Arabidopsis thaliana: one gene and its partners. The protein of the gene in region 2 interacts with the protein of the main gene of each other region in a pairwise test. Each region holds a gene or a part of one and is shown on either strand. Other genes may lie near its edges.

The links.
Region 1: the proteins of AT1G52560 (region 2) and MAF1 interact in a two-hybrid assay, tested with the Arabidopsis thaliana proteins (one large-scale study listed by BioGRID).
Region 3: the proteins of AT1G52560 (region 2) and PPR2 interact in a two-hybrid assay, tested with the Arabidopsis thaliana proteins (one large-scale study listed by BioGRID).

The regions. Positions count from the first base shown.
Region 1 is NC_003070.9:28,952,259-28,962,114, reverse strand, and holds MAF1 (K-box region and MADS-box transcription factor family protein), read right to left. Parts: upstream 6,594-9,856; 5' UTR 6,437-6,593; coding exon 6,252-6,436; exon of another isoform or gene 3,805-6,251; coding exon of another isoform or gene 3,782-3,804; coding exon 3,724-3,781; intron 3,660-3,723; coding exon of another isoform or gene 3,614-3,659; intron 3,514-3,613; coding exon 3,271-3,513; intron 3,163-3,270; coding exon 3,121-3,162; coding exon of another isoform or gene 3,061-3,120; exon of another isoform or gene 2,965-3,060; coding exon of another isoform or gene 2,953-2,964; exon of another isoform or gene 2,786-2,952; coding exon 2,744-2,785; coding exon of another isoform or gene 2,702-2,743; exon of another isoform or gene 2,538-2,701; coding exon of another isoform or gene 2,505-2,537; exon of another isoform or gene 2,372-2,504; coding exon 2,270-2,371; 3' UTR 2,004-2,269; downstream 1-2,003. Other genes in the region: AT1G77090 (thylakoid lumenal protein (Mog1/PsbP/DUF1795-like photosystem II reaction center PsbP family protein)), read left to right, coding at 240-513, 725-828, 913-1,024, 1,142-1,369, 1,475-1,539; AT1G77060 (Phosphoenolpyruvate carboxylase family protein), read left to right, coding at 8,666-8,958, 9,042-9,115, 9,364-9,446, 9,564-9,588, 9,686-9,856. UniProt on the Arabidopsis thaliana protein: Probable transcription factor involved in the negative regulation of flowering time in both long and short days, probably through the photoperiodic and vernalization pathways. Prevents premature flowering.
Region 2 is NC_003070.9:19,572,123-19,578,404, forward strand, and holds AT1G52560 (HSP20-like chaperones superfamily protein), read right to left. Parts: upstream 3,745-6,282; 5' UTR 3,645-3,744; coding exon 3,365-3,644; intron 3,080-3,364; coding exon 2,661-3,079; 3' UTR 2,416-2,660; downstream 1-2,415. Other genes in the region: AT1G52550 (uncharacterized protein), read right to left, coding at 1,063-1,214, 1,634-1,877.
Region 3 is NC_003074.8:1,953,943-1,960,688, reverse strand, and holds PPR2 (Tetratricopeptide repeat (TPR)-like superfamily protein), read left to right. Parts: upstream 1-2,384; 5' UTR 2,385-2,448; coding exon 2,449-2,775; intron 2,776-2,897; coding exon 2,898-4,031; 3' UTR 4,032-4,280; downstream 4,281-6,746. Other genes in the region: ATG8H (Ubiquitin-like superfamily protein), read left to right, coding at 4,415-4,457, 4,555-4,610, 5,015-5,067, 5,172-5,290, 5,382-5,470.

The DNA of each region.
Region 1 (9,856 bases), 9.4 Mb from region 2:
GAATTAATCAGCATTAACCAATAATATAATCAAAACTGAAAACTCTATCGAACTTTTTTTTTTTTTTTTTTTTTTTGTCAATCAACTCTATCGAACTTATTATGTGATTTATTTACAGTAAGTGACATTGACACGTGTGAGGCTAGCAAAATGGTTAGTATCCATCACAAAAGAGGTGAGAGCCACGAATCTGTTGATCAACAAACAAACACATCACAATTCTCGAACTTCGCCGGAGAATGATGGAAACAGCTCTGCTCCGGTACTGCGTCAACTTTTCCGGTCACAAGAAAATCTCTGCTCATCAAAGAAGTAATAGTGAGATTCCGAAAACGAGTCCGGGAGGATGCGAAGACGAGTGGTGTGCTAGGGTTTTGAGTAGAAGATCGGTAATGGCGTCAGGGTTGGTCTCCTCGACGACGGCTTTAGCATTTCCAAGGGAAGGATTGGCTGTCGTTAAACAAGGTCTTCTCGCTGGGAGAGTTCCTGGTCTGTCCGAACCTGATGAAGAAGGTTCGTTTCACTCTGTTCTTGATTCCTCTTCTTCTTGTCTTGCTCTTACTCTGTAGCTTTATTCGTACACTCTTTCTTCTTCTTGAGAATGTTACTATTGGATCATAGATTCATAAATCTTTAGGCTTTGGACATTGATTCTTGGAGTTGTATTATGACAGTATAGTAGTTGGGAATTTGTTGGTGTAATGTAATTGTAATGCTCAGACAGGTTGGAGAACATACCGTAGACCAGACGAGAAGTCAGGAGGGCATGGTGTTGGTTGGAGTCCTATTATCCCTTACGCCTTTTCGGTTCCTCAAGATTGGAATGAGGTTTTGTCCCTTGGCTCTTGTTTCTTCGTTTCTATGGTTTTTAGTCATACTTTGAGATTCTTTTCATTGTTGTATCAAATTTAGGTACCTGTATCGATCGCTGATCTTGGTGGCACCGAGATTGACTTGAGATTTGCTAGTCCTAAAGAAGGCCGTTTGTCTGTTATTGTAGCTCCTGTTCTTAGATTTGCAGATAGTAAGTTGTCTCTGCTATTAAAGATTCATCAACTTTACTCTTTTGAGTTATATAGGCAATGCAATCTTGTCTATTTGTACTCGTAGATTGATTGATTTGTGTGTTCCACTTATACAGACCTCGGGGACGATGTTAAGATTGAAAATATTGGACAACCAGCGAAGGTGATTAACGCGTTTGGACCAGAAGTTATTGGAGAAAACGTAGAAGGGAAGGTGTTAAGTTCCAATGTTGCAGAACACGATGGTAGACTCTATTACCAATTCGAGCTAGAGCCGCCTCATGTACTGATAACTGCAACAGCTGCCGGAAACCGCCTTTACTTGTTCAGTGTCACCGGAAACGGTAAGGCAAAACCTCTCTTCTAGTCAGAGATTTAAAGACAGAGCAAACACCTTTTGTTTGGTTTGTACACATAGTTAATTGCTCTGCTTATGTTTGATTCTATAGGTCTTCAATGGAAGAGACACTACAAGGATCTGAAGAGGATAGCTAGTTCATTCCGCATTGTTTAGACTTTAGAACTTTTTTGGATATATCAGATCTTCAACAAGTTACTCAAGTGTTTCTCAAGACTAAGAACACAAAGAGCGGTACATAAATGTGTATTTGTAAAAAGTTGAGAATCCTGTAATATTATACTAAACAACATACGAGCAGTGAGTTTGGCATACGGTTGTATGGATCTGGATTCATCAGAAAGAACCAAAACATGAAACAGAGTTCAAAAGCTGGCTTTTTTGAGTTCTTCAAAAACACAAATAATAAAACTTGGAAAAGGTGAAAAATATCTTATATAGTTTGGAGCTCTCAAAAACAGAATCACTAAACTTGGAAAAAAGAGCAAAATATCTGATATGGTTTTGATCAAATTAAAAGAGATGCAACTAAATAACTTTGCCACGTAATGTAAGACAAATAATCAAATAATTAAAGTTATAAAAAAAAAAAGTAAAAAAAAAAAGAAATAAGAAGGTCTAGGGTTCTTCACGCTGAAGAAAGAAAGCACAACTTTAAAAATCCAATCCGTACATTCAGACACAAACACACAAACTCTGATCTTGTCTCCGAAGGAGGTACAACACTGATCCATACTTTCTCGTTTTCTTTTTGACCTTAAATTCCACACTAGAGGAAGATAAAAGGTTTGAGATTACACAGCTTTTTATAATATACAAATTTATTCTCTTAATTATGAATCAGGCTTTGAGTTTAAGGTGAAAACTCAGCCGTTGATGATGGTGGCTAATTGAGCAGCGGGAGAGTCTCCGGTATTTTGTTGCCGGAGCTACTTCCCGGAAACATTCCTCTCTCATCATCTGTTGCCAGCAACGTATTCTTTCCCATCTGTAAGAAACTTTCTTACATTTCTTTTTTTTCTACAGCTACTAAACATTGCAAGAAATTAATCTATCTTGTAGAAAGCATTTTTTTTATTTGCAAATTTCACAAATTAAAAATACCGGGTTTTGAGTATCTTTCATCGGTGAGACATACCTTTCTTCTCTGACAGCTACTAAATTAACAAGAAAGATAGATTTTAAAAGCATTTTGTTATCACTTATCACATATTTAGGGTTTCACTATAATTGTCTAGTATCCATCAAAGTCCTTCAACTTTTAGTTTTCATGTACGTGTATATGTGTATCTCTCTATAACGGGGACGTATAAAGTGATTAATTAGCTTCAAGAGCAGAAGATATTGTGGTCATTGTTACCTGGCTAGCCAGAACCTGGTTCTCTTCTCTCAGCAATTTCTCCTGTTTGGAAAAGATCATAAGGTCATTAGTTTCTAACAACTTCTATAGCTATTTCCAAACATGTTTCCTTCTCGAAACATAAATCATCCTCATCCAAATTCGACACTTTATGAGGGAAAGGTTGGATTTGATCAAGAGTTTAAAACTGCTTGTTTTTTTAATTCTCATTAGGGTTTCACCTGAATGAAGCCAATACTAAATCAGGAACTAAGACAAGACCAAAAGATATATATATATATATATAGTAATCTGTAGACTCAGCAGGTTAATAGAATTCAAGAATCATCATAGCCTAGAATATGGCCTTTATCGAAAATAAAAACCAAAGCACTAACCTTTTCTTTAAGGGACTCGATATACTCCATCATCAGTTCTGCCTATAACAAGACATTAAGATTTATGTCAAAAGATTGTTCTAGGATAACTAACTAAAAAGAAGGTTTTGTGGAGTAATTGGTTGAATCACTTAGTAGCAGCACATATACCTTCCTAGCTCTACTTACGGACAGAGCAGTCTCAAGTTGTTCCTCCAGAGAAATTAGAGAATCTACACTTACATTATCGACATTTGGTTCTTCAAGCTTGCTGTATTCACAAGTAGACAAAAGAAAAAAAACATTTTTTTTATCAGAAGAAGAGGGGAGAAAAATGTGTCGTACTGCTAACCTTTGGACTGTTTCTAGTAACTCCTTGTGTGGAAGATAATTCTGAATTTTTTCTTCAAGATCCTGCACATGAAGAAAAGGAATGGTCAGAAAGATTGTGAAGTTCTTGTATTTTCCAGTAGACACAATAACTGTAACTCTAGAGAATTAAGTTCGGTGTTACGAGTTCAAAACATTGAGGTTTCTCCGGCTTGAACAGCGCTTCTATCCTTCATAACACCAAAAACCGCATCCAGAAGAATATTAGAATGACGTTCTTAGCTAATTACTTACTAAGGCTCTAAGTTCATCAGCATGTTGTATTTCATAACGATCAATGATCTTGGAAATGCTGGAGATAAAACAAAAATGCATTAGAACAATAATTTATGCAAAAACCATTTCAAAACTAAGAATCAGATACTGCATCAATAGAGGCCATTATTTAGAGAGAATGCACCAAAGTGAAAGAAAGCTTATATAATATGTTACATTTGCAACAATTTCTGTTACTAACCAACAGTTTTTGATAATCATCTTTACTTAACCAGGCATCTATATATAAAAATGATAGTAAGTATAAAAGCATTAAAAAAAACAATGTAAGTTACTATTAGTTACCCTATTTTTGAAGTTACTGCTTTAGATATATGTGTTCAAAATGTTTTATACTTCAAATGTAAATCTGAAACTCTGATCATCTGGTGCTCTAAAATTAAAATCTGAATTTACAATTTCAACTTTAAGATCCTGTTATATATCAACTTCGCAGCCAATATTGTCATTGTTTCGACTTCAAAAGGTTTTAGAAACTAAGTGCACACATTTTTAACTCATCCCCATGAGTTCGATTATCTACCTTCTTTTTCTTATCAAGGCTAAATCAGTTTTATAAAGAAGCTCTATTTTTGGTTCTTCAAAAAACTAATATCATGCAAAATGTATGATTGTATAGATTATAAATCACATCCTTCCAAAAGACAAAATCTTGATGAAATTCATGTTCATTTTAAGGGAAAATTTTCAAGAATTCAATGCAATCAGTTTATATTTTGACTAGTCAATCCAAGTTTTAGTTATTGACGCTTTCACACATAACGTCAAACGAATCGGAATACTGAAACCAAAAACCTTTGGCTAAATGATATCATGATACTCCAAAAAGGATAAACCAAGAAACTGATTTAGCATTTCCGGGAAGGTCATGACAGCTCTAATCCTATATATGTGTTGTCCATGATCTATTAATGCTATGATATGAATAGAGACTGGCTTCAAATTCACTTCAGTTATTACACGTTCTTATCTTTTTAGTAACATCTCAAGTTGTGACTTAGTAATTTTACATCAATCACAAAAAGAAGAAAAAATGAACAATTAGTAAGACGCATAAGACGACTAATCTCAACTAAAAACACTTTGCATAGTGCCACTTTGTTAAGGTATAAGAACTAAATAAAGAAACTAGCTACAACTAGAGCTTGACTATTGTAAAATGGAGACAGATAGATACGGTTCCTAATACTTCGTCTATAGTCTGTGCATTTTGTTGGTTACAAATTTAACAAATTTGCTTTCATGATCAAGCATTTATGGAGTCAACATCAAGGAAATGAGAAGGAGCTGTATATATACACATACTGACAAGAGTTACCTTTCCATTTCCTACTTATCCATTGATGATTTTATCTTAGGTCTATTAGAAAAAAAAAACTCACTTTTAGTCGCATTCAAAGTATTCTAAAAGAGAAGTGGATGAGATTTTTCTAGATACAAAAGTTCATGGGGTTAAAAATATCCACGACAAATAACAGAAGACTATTAAAGTCATTGAACATTTGGTTGTAGTCTAGTGGTTTCTCCCAATTAGTAAAATTGGCGACCGATTTCTACTTAATGAACCTACTAGGCCACTGACATATATATGGTAGCAGTAAAATCAGTTATAGTTTGAGTTTCTTTAGCAAAGAAATCCAAACTACAACATCTTAGAGAGCAACAAAGAGTCACTCAGTAAGACATAATGTATCTTGTATGGTGTCATAAACACACAACAAATTACGATTAAAAGGGTTAAAATCGATATCCAATTAGTTAAGTAATGAAGAATGTGTGGCGAGTATCAATGTGGAAACTTATCCCAGCACTACAATAAACCATCAAAATCAACTAGATAAACCTTATTCCTTAAAGAGAATTACAAAAGAAAAGATCTACAATACATTTTGGATCAACATAAAGTACAATGTGTTAACCAATTTGAACCAAAGATATTCGATTAATGTTACCACTAACCCCAAATAATCTCTCAACAAAACTACTTGAAGTGCATTGCAATATTGAATATAATTACCAAATCTCAAAATTTGAACAATCTAAACATATTGTTTCTTATATGAAAAAACGAAGCTTCAAAGTGAACAACAGATGGAACTAGCAATACAAAGATTACTTAAACAACATCAAGAACGAATCACCACGTGTAGAAAAGTTTCTTGAATAACATGCAATATTAAATTTCGTCACAAATGAAGGTAAAAAAAGAGATAAAAATGATTTTAAAATGAAAAAAAAAAAAACACGAAAAAAAAAACACGAAACGAACATCAAGAACATATCTTGGCGATCAAAATGTTTAGTCTTAAATTAGGTTAAAGCTTACGCATCTGCTATCTTCATACAGAAAACAAGGAGAAAATCTCAGTTGATTTGATGGAATCAAAAAGCCCTAGATTTGAAGCTTCTATATGGAGAAAGTAATTAAACAAAGTAAAAAAGCACAAAAATCGAGTGAGACCCAGAAAAGGAAAGTATCTTCTTACTCGTCACCGGAGGAAGAGTCATAGAGTTTTCCGGAGGCAGATACGACGACAACAGCGACGGAGGATTCACAGAGAATCGAAAGTTGTCGAGCTTTGTCGATGAGACCATTGCGTCGTTTGGAGAAAGTGACTTGTCGACTGCTTTTGTTCTCGATTCGCTTGATCTCGATTTTTCTTCTTCCCATGGCTTCAAATCTCCGATAAGGGTTATGCCCTAATTTAATCCTAATCTCCGGAGACGCTCAATGCTTTTTGCTTTTTATTCTTTTTTCTTGGTTTTTTTTTTCCTCCAACTCGTTTTTTTTTTTGGTTAAACGAGATAGAGAAAATAATAGTATTAAGCGAAACGATTGCGTTTTGAAGCCACTAAGAGGCAAATTTTTAAGCTTGTCGTTGTTAAAGACTTTTTAATCCAGTCGGTTAGACCGGTCCGAGTCCGATCATCATCCCCACCGAACAGAAATTGGTTTTTAAGGTTTTCTCTTTTTATTTGGAGGGTTTAAAAGTTATTTTATCTCATTGGTTTTGATCGGAAAGTAGTGCTTATGAATCGGGTAACGGTTAATTCAAGGATTTCAGTTATTATTGACGTAATTATATTAAAGATTGATCGGATAATCAAAACTACAATGCAAACTTTCACTAAAATGGTTTTGAATTCAAATATTTTTAAATCGATAATTTTCAATACGTTTGACTATCACCAATTTATTAAAAGTGATTAGTAACTTGACCACTATCAGTGTAAGATAATTGGTATTGAAAACATTATATTATCTAAAACTAAGAGCATATTTTAAAATGTTTGTTTAATTTCTTTGTTTTCTGAATCCATCTTGTCTTGATGCATTGGGATATTCAGATAGCACCTCCCCGCTCCTATGATGGCTCTCCGAGCGATTTTGACCATTTCACCAACTAGAAAGCCTTATCAAAATCTTTGTGCTTTCTTCCGTCTCCAAGAGTAACCATTACTTTATCGAGTTAGGTCGTAGGTTCTGCCGTGGCTCATTCATACTACGTCTCAAAACTGAGTTAGGGATGGTAACTAATTTGGCTTCCCCATTTTCAATGTTTGTTCGCTTACGCTATAAAGGTGAACCAGAATCAGCCCACGACCCTAACCGGATTAAACCGACATTGTTCTTCTTCCCAATCTCGTTTCGGCCCAATATTAAACCAACGAGCCAATACTCCCTTAAACGATTATTTGGGGCAAAAAGACTCTCAACTCTATTCACATGCCCATTAAAGGCCCGATATAATTTCACCGTCCAAAACTACAAATTCGTTTCGGCTTGCTTCATTTCTCAGCTTCTGGTTAATGGGTGGTAAATGATAGCTCTAAGAATAAAGGCTTTTCTCTACTACATAAGAAAAAAAAAAAGAGAAAAAAAGAAATAGCCCATCTCTACTTGTCCCTTTTATTGGCCTGATTTAGCTTATTCAAAAATAAGAAAAGAAATGGGTTTGTTAATAATAAATCAGTAATACTAATCTAACGGCTAATTGTCAAATCGTTGAGAAGACAGTCGAACGGTAAGTTTAATTTTAAAAAGATCAACATTATAGCCGTTGGTGAAGATTGCCAACAAGCCCTATAAATACTTCCACTAAACTTTTTTACAGCCATCCAAGTGGACCAATCTTTTTTATTTGGCTAAAATGTCAATTGAATTCAGATGGTATAGTTGCACACAAGAAAAATAAAAAATAAAAAAAATCAGATGGTATCAACAGTTTACATATTCACCCTTAATCAAAACGGAAAAAGAGAGCATAAAGCCATAAAGTAAAATTCAGTCTAAAAAGCTGTAACAATTTCTTAAATACAAACGACCCAATTTGTTGAGATGTGAAAAAGGCAAAAACAAGTCACTACATGAAATTGGATGTTGTAGGCCCAATTTGTTGAGATAGTAAAACCGAATCATTTTTTATCAAGCATTAGGTTGGAAATTGGTTGGCCCATAGAGTATGTAAAATCAAAGTAGAAATGGAGAAAAAGTGAAAAACAATGAAATCTTTCTTGTTTATTTTGATTTTTCTCAAAATTTACATCTTTTCGATTGTTATCATCTTATAGGTCTTTTGCAACTCTCTTGCCTTTGTCGTGCTTGTTCTGGTGGAGAAAGGAGTCGTTGTTTTGTGGGCTCTTGTGTTATGTTGTGAAATAGGTTTGGTGACATAAAGGCCCATTTCTATGATGAGCTTAAGCTAACCAAATTATACATTTATTGTTAGATTGCCTCTAACATTTTCACAATACCTTGTGGTTTGAGTCTTTGAGATACTGTTACCATAAGATAAGACCGAGATATAATAACCACGTGCTCTCTATTAAAATCCCAAGCGTGTGGGTCAGAGTCTAACTCGATTAGAGAGAAGAAAAAACTTGTTCGAGGCTTCGAAGAATGTCGATGTTAATGGCTGTCAAAACAACTTCACTCTGTTGTAGCAGCTTAAACCTTACAGCTTCACCAACATTCCGACGGAACCCACGCGCGGCGAGATTGGTGAATCCGACAGCGAGAATCCAAACACGTTTTCATCGCCTGATTGAAGAACAAGGCATTGTGCTTATGCCTGGATGCTACGATGCCTTATCCGCGGCTATTGTGCAGCAAACCGGATTCTCCGCTGGTTTTATATCCGGTTACGCCTTATCCGCTTCTCTCCTGGGAAAACCCGATTTCGGTTTGCTAACGTGCGCCACCTTTTTTTTTTTCTTTCTTTAGTAATTTTTTGTTTGTATGCTTTCGTTTTATTTGTGTTCTTTCGTCGTTTTAGACCACCGGAGATGGCTGCGACGGCAAGGTCGGTGTGTGCGTCAGCTCCTAATATACCCATCATTGCAGATGCTGGTAAAGTTGCAAAATTTTGATAGTATAATAAAGACATCATTAAAGAATGCAAGAAGCTTAACTAAAACCAAAAAAGGAAAAAAAACATTTAAAAACATTGAGTCGTTGATTCTTTACCAAAGATTGAAAGTATCAATCTTTCTTGGTTAGAGTCGCTTGCTTGCTTATAGTTCTCTTCATAGCTTTTTGAAAATAGTGGATTTGCTTGGTTATAGTTCTCTTCATAGGTTTCTTTTGATCTTTTCAAGATACCGGTGGAGGAAATGCGCTAAACATTCAAAGAACCGTAAAGGATTTGATTGCAGCTGGTGCTGCTGGTTGCTTCCTTGAGGTAAATTGCCTTCTTTTTTTGTCACCTCTGCTTCTTTGACGAGTTCCTCTGTCTTAGAATTGATCAAGAGTCTTTGGATATTGTTCATTTAACATTTGATTGCTTCATTCTTGTTAGGACCAAGCATGGCCAAAGAAGTGTGGTATGTGTGAAATCTTCATTTTCTAAGTCACTGTTCTAATGTCACTCAATGGACACACTTGACAGATCATAATCTCAATGTGTGTGTTTTTGTGTAGGTCATATGCGTGGTAAACAGGTGATACCAGCAGAAGAACATGCCGCAAAAATAGCATCAGCTCGAGATGCTATTGGAGACTCTGACTTCTTCCTTGTCGCAAGAACAGACGTGCGTGCTACTTCTGCAAAATCAGGGCTTGAAGACGCCATTGCACGTGTTAATCTATACA
Region 2 (6,282 bases):
AATGTGGTTGTGTGTGTTTAGCTGTTTTAATTTGAAAAAAATTATACACTTTATTAAACTATTAGTGGGAATGATTGTGCATATCCACACATAGTCACATATAGTATTTATATAGTAATAATTTCATCAAAAGGTATTGTTTTTTGAATTTCAAAGATTTCCTTTTCATGGCCTGTTGATGACACATGACAACTAATCAAAGTTTCCTAATCACACACCTCACCTTGGTGAATCTGTACTTACAAAATCTTGCAATTTTTAATACATACAAAAGTTCAAATACTAGTTTTTTTTATTGTGTATGAAGAAGATCTCTAGATATGGAAATTTATTTGCTATAATCAGAACAAATATAAATTAAACATAGCATAAAATCTTAATTTAGATAGATTGTTAAATTACTCAGTGTGGTCAGAACAAAATGTTAGGCTCTTATCATAAATTTCTGTTTCTAAACTTACTACCAGCCTTTAACCAAAACAGGTCCAACTAATCATGAGCTGGTTAATTCATTGTCCCAGTATTGAATAAGGTTTACCTAAATCCAGTTATTTCTTTTTTCATATCATGAATAAACAACCACTGTTTTAAATATAAATCAAATAATAATTAAATACAACTTTGGAAATATTATATTATATAGAGAGGCCCAATAAAAGAGTATGTTGAAGCCCAAACAAGTTATATAACATATCTAAAGGCCCATTTTATACAACAAACATTCAAATCAAAGAAACGGTGCGGTTTACCGTTTGGCTGAATCAAGCACACACCAAACACATCTAGTCATTTACAATCTGAAACAGCTTTCAATAAACAATGATATTGATTTGGCATTTTGACTTAAATGCAAACTACTTTAGTTTCATCACAGTAGAGTAATCTCTATAGCTCTAAGCTAGAGATATCGTAAGAAGAGAACAATCTAGTTTCTAGTATAAAACTGTAGTCTGACAAGAAATTTGCTTTACTTGGAAGAATATTTCCTCTGTATATATACACAAACGTGTAGAGGAGTTTTCATCAATCATCATCATCATCACCACACCAATCTAACTAATACTATTTGAAGCGTGAACCCTTCTTCCCTTTACCATTACCTTTGCTGCCTCTTCCTTGTAAAGCCGAAGCCCAAAAGAAGAGAGAGATCCAAATTAGTACTGAAAGAAAGATCTTTACACGGTCTTGAATCATCGACGCTACTCCCACAAGACCTACACAAAATGTGATACCAAACAACAACTATGAATCCAAATTGTTAAGAAGATTGCTCTCGTATTGCAACCAATGACTAAACCTGTAGGGAAAAGAAAATGGTGGAACTTTTGGAAGACATTCACAAGTTGTAAAAGGAGGAGATTTATAAATCCTTAATGCTTAACAAGAGTAAAAGTCTATAAATTGTCACAAAGATCAAAACTTTAGCAATGAACAGTAATCGATCTTGAGGACTAAGATTAACATCTTTATCTACGAATCAATAGCAGTTAAACCACCTTCATTCTCCTAATTCGAATTCCGTAATGCAATTTCATCGAATTAGGAAAGATTGAAAAATAGAATTGGCAGTAAACAAAATCAGAACTCAGAGTTGAAACATTGAAGTTTTAAGGGTAAGAAGGGAAAGACGAACTTGTGAGCTCAGTCGTGTTTTTAGGCGGAGGTGGGTCGGGACTAGGCGGCGTTGGAGGGCCGAGAGGAGCGACCGCGATGCGTCGTACAGGTTTTGGAGTGGGGACGAGGAAAAGGGTCTGAGAAGGAAGTGGAGACGACCGGAACGGTGAAAAGAACGACGGAGATGGAAGAGGATGGTTTTTACGGCAGCGATGGAGGTAAAGGTTGGAGCTTGAAGTCGTGTTGGCAAACGCCGTCGCCATTTTCTTCACAAGGTATTTTGGACCTTGTTTTGTTTTCTCATTATTTTAATTTTAATTTATGTATACATTATCAAAAAAATGTTTTTGGTTTTTTCCTTCTTAATACCAAACTAAAAGAAGGAAAATGAAATATTTTCTATAATTTTCCACAAACTATTGAAATATCATGCATTTTTGTTTAACATAAATATTGTGTTTTCTTGACGACAAAAAAAAAAAATATTGTGTTTTCTTTAAAGAAACTGAACTCTGACAATACACTAAAATACTGTACTTATTAATAAATAAATAATTTAATGTATAACATAACTTGTCTATAAAGAAAAATATTTCATAGTATAGTATAGCAAATCCACAATTATTAATACAAAATTTACAAATAAAATTTTGATATGAGGTACAAAAATGGACTTCTTGTTTAATATATCAACATTTTTGTGTTCATGACGTGAATTAGCAATTTACTCCATTGAGCCATTCGCATAGAAAACATAAAAGGGACACAACATTTGCTGCTTCTTTTAATTAATTTTGGCTTCTTTCTTTTGCGAAAATTAACTATGCTGAATAACAATTTATTCCATTCTCATTACAAACACAAAACTGGTTCATTCTTTGCTTGTTCAATTAGTCTATAATGTATTTTCTAGCTTCTTTTGTTTGCGCAAATGAACTAAGTTAATTAGCAACTTAATAACTGATTCCATTCGCATAAACATAAAAAAGGTACAACATTAATTTGCTTAGTCCATCAAAGAACACAAAAACGACACCGTATCTCTTCTACTCAACAGAAATCTCCTGAACATTCTTCTTTGGCTTCTCCGTCCTAGGAATCACAAGATTAAGCACACCATTCTTGAGCTCCGCCTTAATGTCCTCAACCTTAGCATCATCAGGCAACGATAAGCTCGTGTTGTAGTAACCATAACTCTTTGAAGACCAGTACTCGTCTTCCTCAGGTGAGCCTTTCTCTTCCTCCGCCTTGTGATCTCCTTTAATCGTCAAGATTCCATCATTTACCGTGATCTTCACGTCTTCTTTGGTTAGCCCTGGAACCTCGTATCTGAGCTTGTAACAGTCGTCTTGCTCTTTCACTTGACCCATTAGTTGGAATGGATTCACGTTGAAGTTGTCGAAAATTCTGTTCATATTCTCTGTTGCTTGTATCAGAGTATTTCCTATAGTCGGAGGAAAGAACTCTGTTTTAAGAAGAAGAAAAAATTCAATTCAAGCAAAAATAGAGGTTTACATTAATTATGTTTCATGAGATTTAATGCAATGAAAATGTAAATTTAAAATTTGATGTATTTTTATGATTCTAGAATTTCAAATTTTCTTCTTAATTTTTCTTTTATGGGATATATTTTACACTTAAATGTTGAATTTTTTTTATATAATTTATTTCGAAAATATTATTATTGTGACACTATTGAAATTTTCTGCTAAATAGGTATATCAATAATGAACTAAAATGACAAACGTACCATTTAGGGTGGGAGTGAAGTAGCCATGATCGTCGGTGTTACGCCAGAGGCTTTTTCGGCCACGTCTCCGGGGGAAATTCTGTCGAGGAGATTTCTTCTCAGACACACTCACTTCTGTGTTCATCTTATCCTCTTGTTCACCAGCCGAAGTAGCCATGAATCTGTTTAGCTTCATTGGATTATGTCGATTTCCGACCAAACCTCTTTCACAAGATTGACCCATCAAACTAGGAGACAGTTTTTGTTGAAGGTTTCTCAAAGCCAGACGAGCTAGAGCCATTGTTTTCAAATCGGTAAATTTCTTAATTTTTGTCTTCTTGTCTTCTTTTTTGTGAGTTTGCAAGAAAAAGGCAAGAAGTGTTTGGTTTATAAAGATGGGATTAGGGTTTATGCTAAAAGGTTGGTTTCTAAGAGGTGTTAGAAGTTTCTAAGAGTTTCTGGTTCATTTGGGAACATAAAACAGAGATGCTTCTTGTTTCTTCTACAGCCCTTTTTCTAGATAATCACAACAAGGTTATTTTATTATCAATATTTGTTTTCTTTGAATAGTTAAAACGAAGAAAATCATGACACAAGACCAACCGCCTTGACCTTGCAATTCCTAGAAAGTAGAAAGACCCAAAATCTTTCAAATTATTCTTGAAATTTGTTTTTGGATAACTTATTTCAACAAAACTAACAACATAATTAATATAAATATAGTCATATGGATTTTGGTTTTGTGTTAAGAACATTAAATGAATGTCAAACAATTGTGTCGATCAATATTTTATCAAAAACAAAAAAAAACAATTGTTTCGATCCAAACTTCTAATGGTAACTCTGTCCCCAATCTTTTTTTATAAATCAACTCTGCAACATATGTGGGTTGCTAACTTGTTATACAATTATACATTTTTTTTGTTTTTCTACTAAAATGACTTTTTAATTATTGACGGTTCATACTTAACAAGCAACTGAGTCACAAACATATATATCATAACCATTAATAAATTGTAAACGAGGTGGTAATATAGGAAATTTGAATATTTGTACAACATCCAGATTCTTCCGCAGGTCTCTCTTTGCTAAGGTAATAATGTTTTACAACTCATAGAACTTTATAAATCAACTTTGAAAAAAATATGTGGGTTGTGTCGCTAGACCGGCACAAAAATCTTAGGCGATGAATCATTGGTTTGAATCGAAAAATTAATTACGTTAGACACCCGTTTCCTCCGTGAGTTTGTACTACTATGTTTTTATTTGTACTACTATATGTTTTTAGTATTATTGATGATTACTAATTATTTTATTCTGTGTAATAAAATTAATTTAAACCTATTTGATATTGTTTAATACTTATATTTTGCTTATGATTTGCTCATATACATTTTTTAAATTCTTTTATTCTTTTATTATGAAAATGTATCTTTAGTCACTAGCCTTTTAATTTTCTTCTCTTTTCTTGTTATGGAACCCTTTTTCTTCCTTTTTTATTTTGGCTTTTTAAAAAAAAATCTTTTTGGCTATTTCAGGTTTGCTTGATGAAATATATGTTTTTAAAAAAAAATATTATATTTTTCTTAGAAGTAAACTGAATCTAAACGAATCTAAACATATCGAACCTGTGACATCTACTGTCCCTTGAACACAATAGTTCAAGAGACAGTAGATGTCACAGATACGACGTCTTTTAAGTTGTTTAGATTCGTTTTTGTAAAGTCTATCCATGTGGCATCCTAGTCAGCTACATTAACGGTTTAACTAACGGCATCTATTGATTTGTTGGTTTCAGCCATATTTTGATTGTTTATGTAGTAAATTCAAATTATAAGTTAGTTCATATAGTTAAAAGCATACTTCAAAGTTCTATGTATGGATACGATAAAGTAACTAAGTTTGGAGTGGAATAGACCGTTCTCCCGCTCTTTTGCAGCCTACTTTGAGATGAATATAAACCACAGCATGATGATGAAAACCATCGCCATCCACAAGCTTGCGGTGTCTTGAAGGCCGGCCGGAACATAAAACCCAGCGAATAGATGCTTTTTTTTTTTTTTTTTTTTGTAAACAGCAAATAGATGCTTTAGACAGCAAATTTTATATGTATTTTAAAGGACATCAAATTTTATGGAACGTCTTATAATCTATTGGTTTTCTGTGCTTTGAAGGTAGAAAGTGATTGGTTCGATCCTTGGTAATCGAAAATATTAAAACAGTTTTCTATTTTTATTTGTTGTAAATGGACATCAAATTTTGTTGAGCTTTAAACATGATTAGTCTTTGGACCGACTCTGACCACGAATGACAAATTCAAAAATCATAATCAAGTAGGCTATGTGTCAAGCAACTACAATTACCCCGCATGTCAAAGCCTACTTTGAGATGAATATAAACCACAGCATGATGATGAAAACCATCGCTATCCACAAGCTTGCGGTGTCTTGAAGGCCGGCCGGAACATAAAACCCAGCAAATAGATGCTTTTTTTTTTTTTTTTGTAAACAGCAAATAGATGCTTTAGACAGCAAATTTTATATATATTTTAAAAGACATCAAATTTTATGAAACGTCTTATAATCTATTGGTTTTCTGTGCTTTGAAGGTAGAAAGTGATTGGTTCGATCCTTGGTAATCGAAAATATTAAAACAATTTTCTATTTTTATTTGTTGTAAATGGACATCAAATTTTGTTGAGCTTTAAACATGATTAGTCTTTGGACCGACTCTGACCACGAATGACAAATTCAAAAATCATAATCAAGTAGGCTATGTGTCAAGCAACTACAATTACCCCGCATGTCAAAGCCCATTTCCATAAACAAGCCGTCACAACAAAAACGCCAACTATCAAGATTGCTTCCAAAGCGATCAAAAGATTCCTCCATGCCGATTGAAAAGTTATTCTTTCATCTTATTTATCAGAACTGAAATAT
Region 3 (6,746 bases), on a different chromosome or scaffold from region 2:
ACTACTTGAGAAGGGCCCAATCCGACCCCTAACAAAGACTTATGTTTAGATATGTTTTCATGCGATCCAAACTATACTATATATTTTTTTGGACGGATTTTTTAATAAGTTTTATGGAGTTCACAGACGAGTTTGAACGAAGCGTTTTCTTTATATATGTGCTATGCGAAATAAAAACTTGAAGACAAATTTAAATAATAATGTGATGTAGTAGGGCAATTGCATAATCGATAAATCCGGATAAGTGTGCCCCGATACAACAAAAGCAACAACGTTTACGAAAATTTAACAAGTCCAAAAGTAACAGACATGATAATAATATCCTCATTACAAAACTCAACACACGATCAAAATAAGTGAAACATAACATAAACCATAAACCCTCAAGTTTCAATACGTATCAGGAGATTTAATGGGGGGGGGGGTTAAAATCATATACTCCTCCTTGCCGAACTATTAGGGGTCGGATTGGGCCTACTTGGCCCAATGCCCAAACCCAAGTCAAAAGCCCAAAATAAGTTCCAAACCAAGGAGGAGTATTAAGGCGAAGGGTAGTTTCGTCAAATCCCTCGATGAATGCCCTACACGCGTAGTGCTATAAATACGGAATAGCATGTCATGTCGAAGGGGGGAATTCCGCCTGACACGCAGACACAGAGTAGCTCGCCTTTCTCAAGTAGCTCGTCAGCGAGCCCTTCTCAAGAAGCTCGTTAGCTCGCTCCTCTTCGACAAGCTTATCAACTCGTTCTCTTCACCAAGTCCCTCAGCTCGTCTTCAAGCTCTCCAACTCGTCTTTAAGCTCTTCAAACTCTTCAGATCGCCATTAAGCTCAACAAGCTGCTAAGCTCGTCTTCAAGCTCCTCAACTCGTCTTCAAGCTTCTCAGCTCGTCTTCATGCTCCACTCAACGACCATCTCCTCGTCTAGCTGTCATCTATACAGCTCGTCCAACTCCTCGTCTAGCTATCAGCTCATCCCTCGAAAACAAAACTCATCTACCTCCTCGCCTAGCGGCAGTTCGTCCATTGACTGCATAGTCCACCTATCTCGTCGTCCAGCTCGTCTAGACCTTCAGCAAACAACTCGGTTTATCCAACTCGTCTCTCTACCACGGTTCATCCAGCTTGTCGCACATCTGCCGGCTCGTCAACTACCTGCCGACCTACCTCCAATGACGGCCTAGCTCACTTATTCTAATATGAACTACGTGTGGCTTGACCCCTTTCTAATATGGACTACGTGTCGTCTCGCTTGACTATCACCGAGACAGCACATTGTCAGCTCGCCCGTCTCACGAAGATCGTCCGTCTCAAATAGCTCGTCAGCTCGTCCTTCTCAAGTAGCTCGTCAGCGAGCCCTTCTCAAGAAGCTCGTTAGCTCGCTCCTCTTCGTCAAGCTTATCAACTCGTTCTCTTCACCAAGTCCCCCAGCTCGTCTTCAAGCTCTCCAACTCGTCTTCAAGCTCTTCAGCTCGCCTTAAGCTCTTCAGCTCGCCTTTAAGCTCTTCAAACTCTTTAGCTCGCCCTTCTTACAAAAACAAAAAAGGATATCAATTATGTAGATCAAAACAAAAACAAAAAAGGACTTACAAGGACGTAGATATCAATTATGTAGATCAAAGAATAAGCAGTCCAAATTCCAGCGTTGATGAAACGAACTAACGATAGCCAAAACGGCATGTACTTGAAGGTCTTAGTCTCCGGCGGCATTTTGTCCTAATTGTTTCACGCATTAAAAACTTATCAAAACCAGTTTAATAGTTTACTTATCTATATATTCATCAATAAGTGAGAGCCAGAGAGAGAGAGAGAGCTTACTATGGTAAATAAAAGATAGATGATAACAATGTTGTAAACGTTGCAAACAACACCAATGAATGTATGCTTGCCGGCCGGATAAACTCCCAAATCCCCAGATAGTCATACAATAGACTGTTGCCACAAAACTAAACTCCAACGGAAGCAATAGATAAAAGAGTAATATCTGCACATCAACATCGACATCATCAAAATCAATATACAATATTTTTCTGGATTTGTTTTTTTTTTCTTTGGGATATTTCTATAGAATTTAGTCAAGATTGTGTTTGTTTGTTACCACCTTTTGTGCACCAGTCACCAATCCTTATTTTTATTATTAAATCTATTTTTGATACTATAATTCGTGATTTTCCTTTTAGTTTTATATATATATATACTTACAGAGATGCGAGCTTCATATTATTATTTTTATCTTTTTGAACACCAAAAAAATAGCCTCGTATTATTTTTAAATGATCAATTATGTGATCATATTTAAAAATACGATCCGGTTTTTAAGGGATTTGAACGGATCAAATGTGTTTCCGGTTCGGTTATATAAACCGGTATTTTACCATATCCAACCGAAATGAGTATCGACGGGAATTATCCGTAAACAGAGTGACAGTGAGGTGTGAAGGAAGAAGACGATGGCGTCAATGTCTCTCTCCTTTTCTTCTTCGCTATGTTCATCCAGAATCCCCGAAGGTAAGCGTAGGTTTCGTCACAGAGATGTGGGCATCGTTAGATGCGTTTTGGCTGCTTCGAAATCTTCTCCGGGAAGTGTTACGAAGAAGAGGCTTTGGAAAGACGGCGAATTCCCCGGAATCACGGAGCCGGTTAATCAGAGAAGAACTCCGATAAAGAATGTGAAGAAGAAACTTGACAGGAGAAGCAAAGCTAACGGATGGGTTAACACCGTCACTGAAACTTTGTCCGATCTCATCGCCAAAAAGCAGTGGTTACAAGCTCTCGAGGTATTTCGATTTTCTCTCTTCTCGTTCATGTTTGATTGAATTTGAACTCAATTTTGAATCACGAGTATAATTTAGCTGAAAGATGATTTTGATTGAATTGGGTATTTTGTTGATGATCTTAGGTTTTTGATATGTTGAGGGAACAAACATTTTATCAACCAAAGGAAGGAACTTACATGAAGCTGCTTGTTCTTCTCGGTAAATCTGGTCAACCCAATCGTGCACAGAAGCTGTTCGACGAAATGCTTGAAGAAGGACTTGAACCAACTGTTGAACTCTACACTGCTCTTCTCGCTGCTTACACTCGCAGCAATCTCATCGACGATGCTTTTTCAATTCTTGATAAAATGAAAAGCTTTCCTCAATGCCAACCTGATGTTTTCACGTACAGCACTCTGCTCAAGGCTTGTGTGGATGCTTCTCAGTTTGACTTGGTGGATTCGTTATACAAGGAAATGGACGAGCGTTTGATAACTCCAAACACTGTGACCCAGAACATAGTTTTAAGTGGGTACGGTAGGGTCGGAAGGTTTGATCAGATGGAGAAAGTTTTGTCTGATATGTTGGTGAGTACTGCTTGCAAACCCGATGTGTGGACTATGAATATCATCCTTAGTGTGTTTGGAAACATGGGTAAGATAGACATGATGGAGAGCTGGTACGAAAAGTTCAGGAACTTTGGGATTGAGCCAGAGACTCGGACTTTCAATATTTTGATTGGTTCTTATGGGAAGAAGAGAATGTATGATAAGATGTCGTCTGTCATGGAATACATGCGAAAGCTAGAGTTTCCGTGGACAACATCAACCTACAACAATATCATCGAGGCGTTTGCGGATGTTGGTGATGCAAAGAACATGGAGTTGACATTTGATCAGATGCGTAGCGAAGGTATGAAAGCAGACACAAAGACCTTTTGCTGTCTCATAAACGGATATGCCAATGCCGGTCTTTTCCACAAGGTGATAAGTAGTGTTCAGTTGGCTGCTAAGTTTGAGATACCCGAGAATACTGCCTTTTACAACGCGGTGATATCAGCGTGTGCTAAAGCAGATGATCTGATAGAGATGGAAAGAGTGTACATAAGAATGAAGGAGAGACAATGCGTATGCGATTCAAGAACGTTTGAGATCATGGTCGAGGCGTATGAAAAAGAAGGTATGAATGATAAGATCTATTACTTGGAACAAGAGAGGCAAAAGCTTATGGATCGCACTGTTGCTACAAAAGAGATGGAGAATCTTCCGGCAGGATGATTGCGGTTTGTGTGTGAATCTCTCTCTCTCTCTCTCTGCAAGGAGAGATCGATGTCTCACTTGAAAGAGTAGAATAAAAGAGTTTGTAATACACTTGATTGTTCTTGCAGCTATGCGTGTTATATATTTTGATGGGCCCAAAATTATGAATAGAGGCCCATAGATAAACTGTGACGTGCACAAGAAATCGGACAAGTCCAAAAAGTGGATAAGTGCGTGTCGTCTTTCTATAAATAATCTCTTTTCTCTCATCTTTTACCGTTTCTTCTCGAACAATCAAAAACGAACTAACCAAACATAAAATTGAACACATCCTCTTCCTCTGCTCTCTGCAAACAAAAAAACACCGATTCGGTCAGGAATCATTCGTCGTGAAATCTGTAATGGGGATTGTTGTCAAGTCTTTCAAGGATCAATTCTCCTCTGGTTTGTTCTTCGTTAATCTCTTTCTGATTCTTTGGAATTTTTTTTCCTTCGAAATGTGCTTCTGAAGCAAAGTTTTCATCTTTGTTTGAGGATATAGATGAGAGATTGAAGGAGTCGAACAACATCATTGCGAAATATCCAGATAGAATACCTGTAAGTTATTTCATAAATTTCATGTTTGATTTGTTTCTTGGTGTTTCCGTCTTAGTTGCCGTGCGATTGTGGATTTCCTTAGGGTTCGAATGATTTACTCAATTAAAAAAAAGTCTTCGTTTGACTTGCATCTCTCGAATTTGCTAGAATCTCTGTTTCAATCTTAGAATTTCTTCGCCATGGTTTGATGGATACGATCTGGGATCTGAAATTTGACTGATTTTGTGCGGTTTGGTGTTGATCCAATCACTCTGGTCAATGTCGGAGACGACTTCTTTAGTTGAGATTTGATCTATCACCAACAACAACCCAAACCAATTTGATTTAGGGATTTGGATCTGTTCTTGGTTTGGTTTCTTCATCAGATTCCAGCATTTATGGATGGGTTTTATTTACTTATGTAGGTGATCATTGAGAAATATTCAAACGCAGATCTGCCAGACATGGAGAAGAACAAGTGAGTTGTGACATCAATTTAGCTGTTGGACCAAACCAAGTGTAACCTGTCTAACTGTGAATAATCTTGTTTTTAACTCTGTATCCCGCATTTGTTTATTGTAGATACTTGGTCCCACGAGACATGACTGTTGGACATTTCATCCATATGCTAAGCAAAAGGATGCAGTTAGATCCATCCAAAGCTCTCTTTGTTTTCGTACACAACACTCTTCCTCAAACCGGTAAGATAAGAAGTATCATCATCCATGTAGAGTGAGACTTTACCTGCAGTTTTCCAAAGCTTTCCATTAACACTTGTCTTGAATTATGCAGCTAGTCGCATGGACTCTCTCTACAATACTTTCAAGGAAGAAGACGGGTTCTTGTACATGTGCTACAGCACCGAGAAAACTTTCGGCTAACAAAAGATTTGTCGCTTCATATCGAAATCGAAGCGCACTCTGAATAATCCATTTGTTTGATTCCTATGTTTGTGAATAACGTCAGCTCTTGTTGTTACTGTTATTGTTGTTGTTAGCTGACATTGTACAGAAAAGCTAAAAAAAAGAAAGACATTTGACTTTGTAAATTATGTATAATCCAACTATGGCAATAATAATAAGACCAAGTGATGATGATTCACACGAAACTCTTTTTGCGTTTTGTTCTTCCCTATAAAAAAAGAAAAGAATATAGATACTTTCGTGGAAGCACGTAAGTTTGGGGAGATGTGGTAAAATGAGACCTAAAGAAATTGCAATGTCGGTGCGGCGGTAAACGTGTACCCTACGACTTGGATTGTGTGTTTTATGCGATAAGGTTTTTAAGAAAACCGCAATTTTTAGAATATTGTTTATGTATATCCATCCATCATATGGTTAATCTTCTCTACAAGTTTATTTTGCCTCTTTTGTTTATACACATTTTATGTTCCGATTACATATTTTATTCCTTCTTAATCATCACTTCTAACATGAGGATTTAAAACTTTTCTGTTTCCAACGAGTTTATAACTACTTAATTAATGCCTCTATTTTAGTTCAATAGTGATTAATGACGCGTTGGCACCATCTCAAACTAAACTCAATATTTCGGAGCAAATAAAACAAAATTTCACAAGGAGACCAATAATTGATCGAGTATATTCTTGGGGGGATGTTACGATGCCATCCATGTCCAAAACTATTTGGATCAAAGCTTCTTTTTGGAATTTTTGTGCTCTTTCATTTCATTTGTATATAGATTCGGTTATTCCTTGACAAAAAAAAAGATGGTTATTCCTAATTAACTGCCACATTCTTATTTATAAATATCAATGTCGGTTACAAACACGATATAATGTAATAAAATAGTTGATCCAGGACGTAATAATTGTGCTCCCAGTGTGTTAGTTAGACTTGTTATTTTTATTTGCTATAAAAAGGATTAGATTAAGAAAGGATAACCGACAATTTAATTTTAAACAGAATTTTAGACAAACAATGTATAGTCGTAATCTGCGGTGGTTTTATTGTTTAAGATGATTTGTTATGTGGATCGAAACCAAGATTATAGTATTTCTATCACGACTTTAACCAATGTGAACAACTCAAGAAAACAAAAAACAAAAACAAAAAAGAGTTTTTCTATATATGATTGATAAATTTAAAAGTTGCTACATAAATTTAAAAGTTGCTTGATAAATTTCAGTATTTTACA